2 linked regions of the Neurospora crassa OR74A genome follow. The protein of the gene in region 1 purifies or fractionates together with the protein of each later gene. This does not show direct contact. Links are inferred from orthologs where the notes say so. Each region holds a gene or a part of one and is shown in the gene's direction. Other genes may lie near its edges.

Evidence for each region. The genes of interacting proteins can lie anywhere in the genome.
Region 2: the proteins of acp-1 (region 1) and NCU03008 purify together in Saccharomyces cerevisiae (affinity purification with mass spectrometry; 3 studies listed by BioGRID, with this or other methods). This does not show direct contact. The link is inferred for Neurospora crassa OR74A from reciprocal best matches to the Saccharomyces cerevisiae genes ACP1 and MZM1.

The regions. Positions count from the first base shown.
Region 1 is NC_026506.1:4,098,327-4,103,264, forward strand, and holds acp-1 (acp-1), read left to right. Parts: upstream 1-1,698; 5' UTR 1,699-2,034; coding exon 2,035-2,244; intron 2,245-2,836; coding exon 2,837-2,854; intron 2,855-3,072; coding exon 3,073-3,153; intron 3,154-3,308; coding exon 3,309-3,404; 3' UTR 3,405-3,868; downstream 3,869-4,938. Other genes in the region: nuo21.3c (NADH-quinone oxidoreductase chain I), read left to right, coding at 52-314, 609-928, 1,035-1,111. UniProt on the Saccharomyces cerevisiae protein: Carrier of the growing fatty acid chain in fatty acid biosynthesis. May be involved in the synthesis of very-long-chain fatty acids.
Region 2 is NC_026501.1:8,458,832-8,461,813, forward strand, and holds NCU03008 (hypothetical protein), read left to right. Parts: upstream 1-1,166; 5' UTR 1,167-1,308; coding exon 1,309-1,366; intron 1,367-1,450; coding exon 1,451-1,624; intron 1,625-1,691; coding exon 1,692-1,795; 3' UTR 1,796-2,010; downstream 2,011-2,982. Other genes in the region: NCU03009 (zuotin), read right to left, coding at 1-563, 638-931; NCU03007 (pre-mRNA-splicing factor slt-11), read right to left, coding at 2,060-2,982. UniProt on the Saccharomyces cerevisiae protein: Assembly factor required for Rieske Fe-S protein RIP1 incorporation into the cytochrome b-c1 (CIII) complex.

The DNA.
Region 1 (4,938 bases):
CAACCTCAAAACCAACAATTAATCAACACCATCCACCGCAACCCGCCCATCATGCTCACCACCACTGCCTCTTCGGCTGCGGCCGTCGCGCGCCAGCTCACCACCCGCCGAGTCATCGCCCCCTCCTTCGTCTCTCAGGCCATCCGCACCTACGCAACCCCCGCCGGTCCCCCGCCCAAGGGCTTCCGCATTCCGACGCCCAAGACGTGGGACCAAGAGGAGGAACACGTGCTGGATAAGAACGGACGGTACTTTCTTTTGACGGAGATGTTTAGGGGCATGTATGTGGCTATGGAGCAGTTTTTCAGGCCGCCGTAAGTATCTTGTCTGTCTTTTGTCTGTTTGCTGGCTTGGGAGGATAGGAGGTGGTGAGTGGTGGAAGTTGGAAGGATCTGGGGTGAGGAGGTGGGCAGGATCCACGACATGACAAGTATCATGACTCGCGCACTGGAGTAGTATGGAGATTGCGGCTCTGCGGCTCGTCGCTTGGTTAAGCGCGCTCGTACTGTGCTGCTCCTCCCGCCGCTCCTCCGTCACCACGACGATCAACAGCTACCTAACGACTGCGCAAACCCATACCACCATATTTACTGACACCTCTATTCCAGGTACACAATCTATTACCCCTTCGAAAAGGGTCCCATCTCCCCCCGCTTCCGCGGCGAGCACGCCCTTCGTCGTTACCCGTCGGGCGAAGAACGCTGCATCGCCTGCAAGCTCTGCGAGGCCGTCTGCCCTGCTCAGGCCATCACCATCGAAGCTGAAGAGCGTGCCGATGGAAGCAGAAGGACGACCCGCTACGATATCGACATGACCAAGTGCATTTACTGCGGATTCTGCCAGGAGAGCTGTCCCGTGGATGCGATTGTGGAGAGTCCCAATGCGGAGTACGCAACGGAGACGAGGGAGGAGTTGTTGTATAACAAGGGTGAGTTCTTTTCTGGGGGATGCCGTGATAACCTGGTGCTGGCTGGAGATAGGTTCTTGCTGTCGGGGGGCCAGGAAAATATGACATGTGCTGACAACAGATACAGAAAAGCTACTCTCTAACGGAGACAAGTGGGAGCCTGAGCTTGCGGCTGCTATTCGCGCCGATTCACCTTACAGATAAAGGGGTTGTGGCTTGAAGACCGGATAACAGGACGGACAATGAAGACAGAGATTCTTTTTTTCGTTGTTGCTATGCTAGAGTTTCGGAACCAGCAGTTTCGGACGGGTTGCGGTATCAACAGGACGCACCATTGTGTTATAGAAGGCAGGCAGGCAGGCAGGCGGACAGGCAAAAGAAGGCTGTAGATACATTTGTGAATTGCGTCCCTCATCCAACTTCTTGTCTTTTTGAAAGTCATCTCGCCAGGGAAGATCCTATATGCGGCCAAAGGGACGCATCAAGAAACCTAAAGATGCTTGAAAGGCTGAATGTACAATTAGTGTACGGTACCATCTGTAAGATACAAGCTGTATCGTGATGAACTCCATCCCATCGTATCCATCAACCGGGATTACCCGTCTAACAGACGAGTGGAGTGATCCTGCCCGTGGGGTGTTAGTGGAGTATCTGCTTGACACATTTCTCCGCAGTGTACAAGACGGTACCTGAGCGACCTGCACGTGACTCGGCTGACGAGTAGCAGAACGAGCTGAAGCTTCCATGGCTGCAGTTGCGGGGGAGCATCGAGGTTGTACGTACCAAGGTACCTCCACACGCTGAAGCTCCAGAGTCAGAGGCGGGTTTGTTAGCTTCGTTGGCCGCCGCCGCCCGCAGTTGCCCGCACCCGCTTCCCGCGCCCCCGGCGTACCATAGGCAGTAGGCGAGAAATTTATCATCATCATCGCTGATTCCAGCCAACCACCGCCCAGAAATCCGCTTCCAGCCAGAGAAACCCGCAACAACCTCGTCCGAGAACCACCGAGTAGTAGCGTCACACTCATTTTCGGCCACAGCCTTTCCTGTCACCACCACCGACCCTCAAACACCCGACCGACCCGCGCAATTGACACTTTCCGCGACAGCCCACCCAAACAAAACAAAAAATGTTCCGCACCGCCGCCCTCACTGCCGCCCGCGTGGCCCGTCCCGCCGTCGCCTCCGCCGTCCGCGCTGGTGTTGCCCGTCCTGCTTTTGTCCAGGCCGTCCCCAAGGTCGCTGCCTTCCAGGCTGTCCGGTTTTACAGCGCCGGTGGTCATCTCAAGAAGGATGAGGTCTTTAGCAGGATTGCGCAGGTGTTGAGTGGATTTGACAAGGTGCGTTTTACATCACAAGAGACCTACCCGACACGACATGCATACAAACTTCGAGCAGGAGGATGAGGAGGAGGAGCAGAAGAAAGGAAGGAGATAAGAAAGAGGTGTGAAGAGGCAGAGGGATACGAGTGGTCTAGGGACATACGCTACGCGAAGACAAGAGGAGAGAGCGTGCGGGGGAGCATCATCATCGCAAGCAAACCAGCCGGACAACAGAACACAAACGGAGGAAGACCAAAAAGATGCGAAGAGCATATCAAGGCTGCGCAGACGCGACAAAACGAGATGGAATACGATGAAGAGCACTGCGTGCTCCACACGCTGCGCCATGGTCGGATTTATCGGGAACTTGGGAGCTCTTCGAATGGGTCTGCCCTGCCGGCTGGGCTGGTTCTGCTCCGATGATGATGCTCTCCCCTCGCTTTTTTGCCCTCCTCCTCTTGCTATCTTGCTGGTCAACTTCTTGTCTCTTGCTCTTCTTTCTTCCTTACCTCGGCTGGATCTCCCCTCTCCTCCAGCCTCTTCTTCAGAAGCCACAACAGTCCCGTGTTCGCAACCTTTTTCCAGGCCCAAGCTAACATCTACTTTCCAGGTCAACGACCCCAAGAACGTAAGTACAGACGCAAACACCAACATTTCCTCCTCACCGTCACGGAGACGAACTATGATGTGATTTTTGGTCATGATGGGTCAATCCCAGTGCCCTGGTGCTCCCGGCCTGACAGTCTGGAAGGAGAGACGAGACGGGCAAACCGCAAGAATAGATGCAATGGAACGAGACCAAAGATACAGGGATGAGAGATTCTGACACAAGTTTGCGCATCACAGATCACCGAGACCGCCCACTTCGCCAACGACCTCGGTCTTGACAGCTTGGACACCGTTGAGGTTGTTATGGCTATTGAGGAGGTATGTTGCTCCCTTTTTTTTTCTTTTTATTCCGGGCCCTTGTCATATTCCCTTTTCGGCCCAAGCTCAGCCTCTTATCACAATCACCCTTCAACCCAAACACAGTCATAGCACATGGACGCCAAACACGATGCTAACAAACCTACCCGCAACAGGAGTTCTCCATCGAGATCCCCGACAAGGACGCCGACCAGATCCACTCGGTCGACAAGGCCGTCGAGTACATCCTCAGCCAGCCCGATGCCAACTAAAAAAAGTCCTCTGTTTCGTTCCTTGTTCGAGCGTTTTAGAAACCCCACTACTTGCGCAAATATAAAGCATACTTCTTCTCCCTACCTACCCACCTTACCTTTTCACCTCTATCTTTATCCTTAACTAGGTCGATTCGAAACATATCTTTGTCATTGTTTGGGATTCGATTCGATCTGTGTACCATACGAAAACTTAGAACCTGAATGAAAGAAGAGATGACGAATGGAATGGAGCATCGTGATGGGTACGGGCTAGATGTGAATTGTGGGCAGGTCGGACTTGGTCTTGATGTTGTTATCATTGTCAGAGTGGTTAGTCTGGGTTGGTCAACGCGGCGACACGTTGCAATGTTTGGTGGTCACTAAAGTGGTATTGTGGCAGGCTCAATATAGCGTTGGTGTCAACTCTTGTGCTGTTGCGTTGTGTTTTGTTTGTCGCCTATATCCGTACCTACACACTACTTACATACCCCCCCCCCCCCCCTTTCAGGTAAAGAGAACAATCATGACTGGAGCGCACTCAACTTGAAGGCCTGGGTTTATATGTCTTCCTGTCTGATCACTGCTCAGTTCAACAAACACAGACCAGTACCTGAATCGAGCGAAGTTGGCGAACCAGGAGAAACCATCTGACTGGGTATCTAGATGTATCTACCTTTAAACTGAATAGATACGTGGTATTTCTCAAGAGAAAATGTCAACTTTGTTGCGTGACCAAGTGAAGAAGATGTGACCGACGAGAGATCCTTGATACTACGACGGAGTATGTCTGGTCCTTTAAATGTCCCACTTCAATATTTAGATCGCGGCATGAAGATACCTACCTTAAGGTATGCATGTATTCACCACCACCTCAGAAACTTGCCCTCAAGATCACGTAAAGCCAGAATTGTTCGGTACCTACCTCAAGCTAAAACTGGGCTCCGTACCAACCGATATTCTTTCCTTTATTTTCCTCTTCGTCTTGTTTTCTTTCTATCTTTTATTTTTTATATATTTTACAAATTTTTTTTTTAATTCTTTTTTTCTCTCTCTTTGTTTAGGAGGCATTGATTCGTTCATTCACTCCTGGGAATCTCAATAGTATCGACTCCATCCACTTCGGTTAACCTGCCTTTATAGTGTGTGCGTACAAGACGCCGAGCGAGGGGCTCAGTGAGGTAACAACAAAGTTGATGATCTACAAACGATATCATTCAAGATAACAATACTGTCGCTGCTCTGTGTATACAGCCAAAGTACTACTTAAAGCAAGAAAAGTGGAATCCACCAGCTACTCTATACACCATTAATCCTACACTACCACCCCTCGCTGACATACATGTCATGCAACTACCTTGACTCCGAGAGCAAGGAAGTGGAAAACAATTACAACAGTTGAAGACCAAGCATGAATTCAAGCGCTTTTGATCTTCCCCTTTCGTGATTAGATCCTTCAAATGTTTTTGTTTTGCACGCCATCCCCCCTCCGCTAAGTTGTTTTCCTATGGCCAAAGTATGCTTGTTGCTTCCCATCCAGTTTTCTCTTCGCCTC
Region 2 (2,982 bases), on another chromosome or scaffold:
GCCGAGCAGTCATCGAGCAGCTTGCGGAGACGAGCATTGTCCTCAGCCTTTCTCTTCTTGCGGGTGTTGAGGTTCTTGCGCTCGGTGTGGCGTCTCTGGTCGCGGGACTCGCTGTCATCGGGAACATCCTCATCGAGGTACTCGAACGACCTCCAGCTGTCGAAGTTGTAGAAGAAGTTGTAGAAGTTCTCGACCTCTTCGCGGGTAGAGTTCTCGTTGCCGAAGCTGGGGACGGGCTGGGTGTTGCTGAAACGGCCCTCAGCCTTGAAGACGTTGCCCCAGAGCTTGTAGAAGTTGCCCTTTTGGAGCTGCTTCTTGGTGGGGGGTTCGACATCGGCTTCCTCATCAACAGAATCGAACTGGCGGCGCTTGATGGGGTCGAGGAGGACCTCGGTGGCCTTCTGGATGCACTTGAAGAAGTTGTCGTCCTCGGTGCGGCCAGCGGCGGCCTTCTTATCGGGGTGGTGCTTGAGGACCTTCTTGCGGTGAGCGCGCTTGATCTGCTCCTCGGTGGCCCTCCAGCGGTACTTGGAAAGGCCGAGAACCTTGTAGTGATCTTGTTGCTGTATACGGGGCAATCAGGTTAGCTGTCAAGGTCTTGCGTGGCGTGATACACCATTACACGCTGAGCACTAACCTTCCAGTCCTTGGCGTCGCGAGAGAGCATCATGGGGTCCTCGGGCTCGCTGAGGTCGCTCTCATTGTCCTCCTCGACGTTCTTGGCACGCTCCTGGGCCTGAATACGGTCATCCTCGGAGAAGGTGCGCTTGTGGCGGGCGCGGCGGGCGTGGGCGAGGAAGTGAGGGCCGACGGGCTCGATGGTGCGCTGGGTGGCCTCGTTCTGGGCAATCTTGCCGATGGGCTTGAAGTCCTTCTCGGCGGTCCAGCCCTCAGGGAGGGTGGGGAGAGGAAGGGGAACCACAGTAGTCATTTTTGCGGCCGATGATGAGGATGGTGATGGTTGGGTTGGGAGACAGTGACAGGCGCAGGAACCAGAAGCTTGTATAGGCGGGGCCCCTCTGTTGTCTTTTTACCGACGGAATTCTGGAAATTTTTCGATGGCTAAGCTCCCCACATCTTGCTTATCGACCGCCAATCACAATCATCGCAACTCCAAGTCCACTCCGGCCGGCAAGCCTACCCGGTCCTGGGCGACATTTTTGGAGGTCGCATTGCCGTCACTGCAACTGTTTCCAGACAAGCCTTGAATCTTTTTGTTAGACCGGAAGTTGGCGATACAATACTATTTACTTTCTTTAGAACCTGCATTCCCTTGCATGACCCTCGTTTACCAGCAGTATTGTCAACATGTCTGCCCTTCAAGCCTACCGTCACCTCATGCGCGCCGCGAGAGTTGCCTTTGATGGTACGATGTTCCCCTGCAGTCTCCTTGGTGCATCCGCCGGCCCATGTAGCTCCCCGGACTGACCGGCATGTGCCACTATCTTAGGCGATAACCGCACCCTTACGGCCGCCTACGAGTCCATCCGCCGTGGTTTCCGCGAGAACCAGAACGTTCCCGCCAACGATCCTACGATTGCGCCTGCGATTGCGCATGCCGAGGAAGTTGCCAGCTTTTTGAGATCCAATGTCGTCCAGGGCCGTAAGGACGGCGAGACCTACAGTGAGCGAAGTCTAGGGGTGCTCGAGTCATATACAGAATATGGTTGCTGACTCCATGTTCGTTGCAGAGCTACGGATTCACCAGGACACCGAGCGCGGCGACAACGATACCATCAAGCTAGGCAACCAGACCATCAAGATCGGCGGCGAGCAGAAGTGCTGCTCGGCATAAGTGAATACAAAACCATGGTTGGATAACACAAGGATTTTGGAAGCTCAAGTTCGTGAGAACGTAATGGGACAACAGGACAGTGCCGTTGCCCGTGTATATGTATAAATCATCAATGATACCCCTCAATGTAGAAAACTAGTGGAAGAGACCATGCGATATCAGGAAATGCAACGTATCCGAGATACCCTGAGCCCAAACCCCAAATCATAATAGCCTCCGAACGCCTTGCAATACCATGATTAATAAGCACTTTTCTGACCCCGCTTAGTTGCCAGAGAGACTGGCGTACTGTACGTCTGCCGCACCGGGCGGCGCTGCGATAGTGAGGTTAGATGCGTCGTCTTTCTGCGCTCCTGATGCGCCACCCTGGGCATTTTGTCCCCCGATCGCCTTTTGGCCACCTGTCTTTTGACCACTGCCAAAGGCCGACCGACCATCTCGTAGCATCTCCGAACGCTGTTCCTTGTTCATTGTTCCCAACGCCTTGGGCACGCTCCATCTAACTCTCAAGGGGCATCCGGCAATGACAGCACGGCCTTTGCACTCCGCTGAAGCCTTCTCAGCAGCCTCCCGAGTCTCGTAGTTGACGAACGCGGCATGCGACATGTGCGACACCACCAGCGACTTGATCTTTCCGAACGCCTTGAAGAAGTCGCGAATCTTGAACTCAGGCAGATCATCTTCGATACCGGTGACGAAGAGGGACATTATGCTCTTGTCGGCCGGTGGCAGCCAGTCCTTGGGTCCCGGAGGAGGCGCCGGAGCTGCGTTGGGTCTTCGTCCGCCGCCGGGTCTGGCGCCAGCAGCTGCGGCCGCCCTGGAATCTCTCGTGCGAATCGGACCAACCCCACCAACACCGGCTCCCACAGCAGGATTGCCTCCCGTCGCCCGTCCTGCGCCACTCGATGATCCGTTAACGGGGTTACCCTCCTCGTCGACCTCCCTGCCCTTCCTGAAATAGGGCTTGCTTTGTGCCAGCCTCCTAAGCAGCTCTCTGGCTTTTTCGTCCGCCTTCTCGTACTCCTCTACACCAGCTCTTCCTTCTTCAATCGCGCGCTCGTTGTTTTGGGCAAAGTACTCGCGGTTGATTTCGCTCTGCGGTCCGGGGGCCACAAGTTCGAGGGCCTTGTCTCTGATGATGATGGGCAGACCGAACTGAAGATCGAGGATGCAGCATTGGCAGGCGT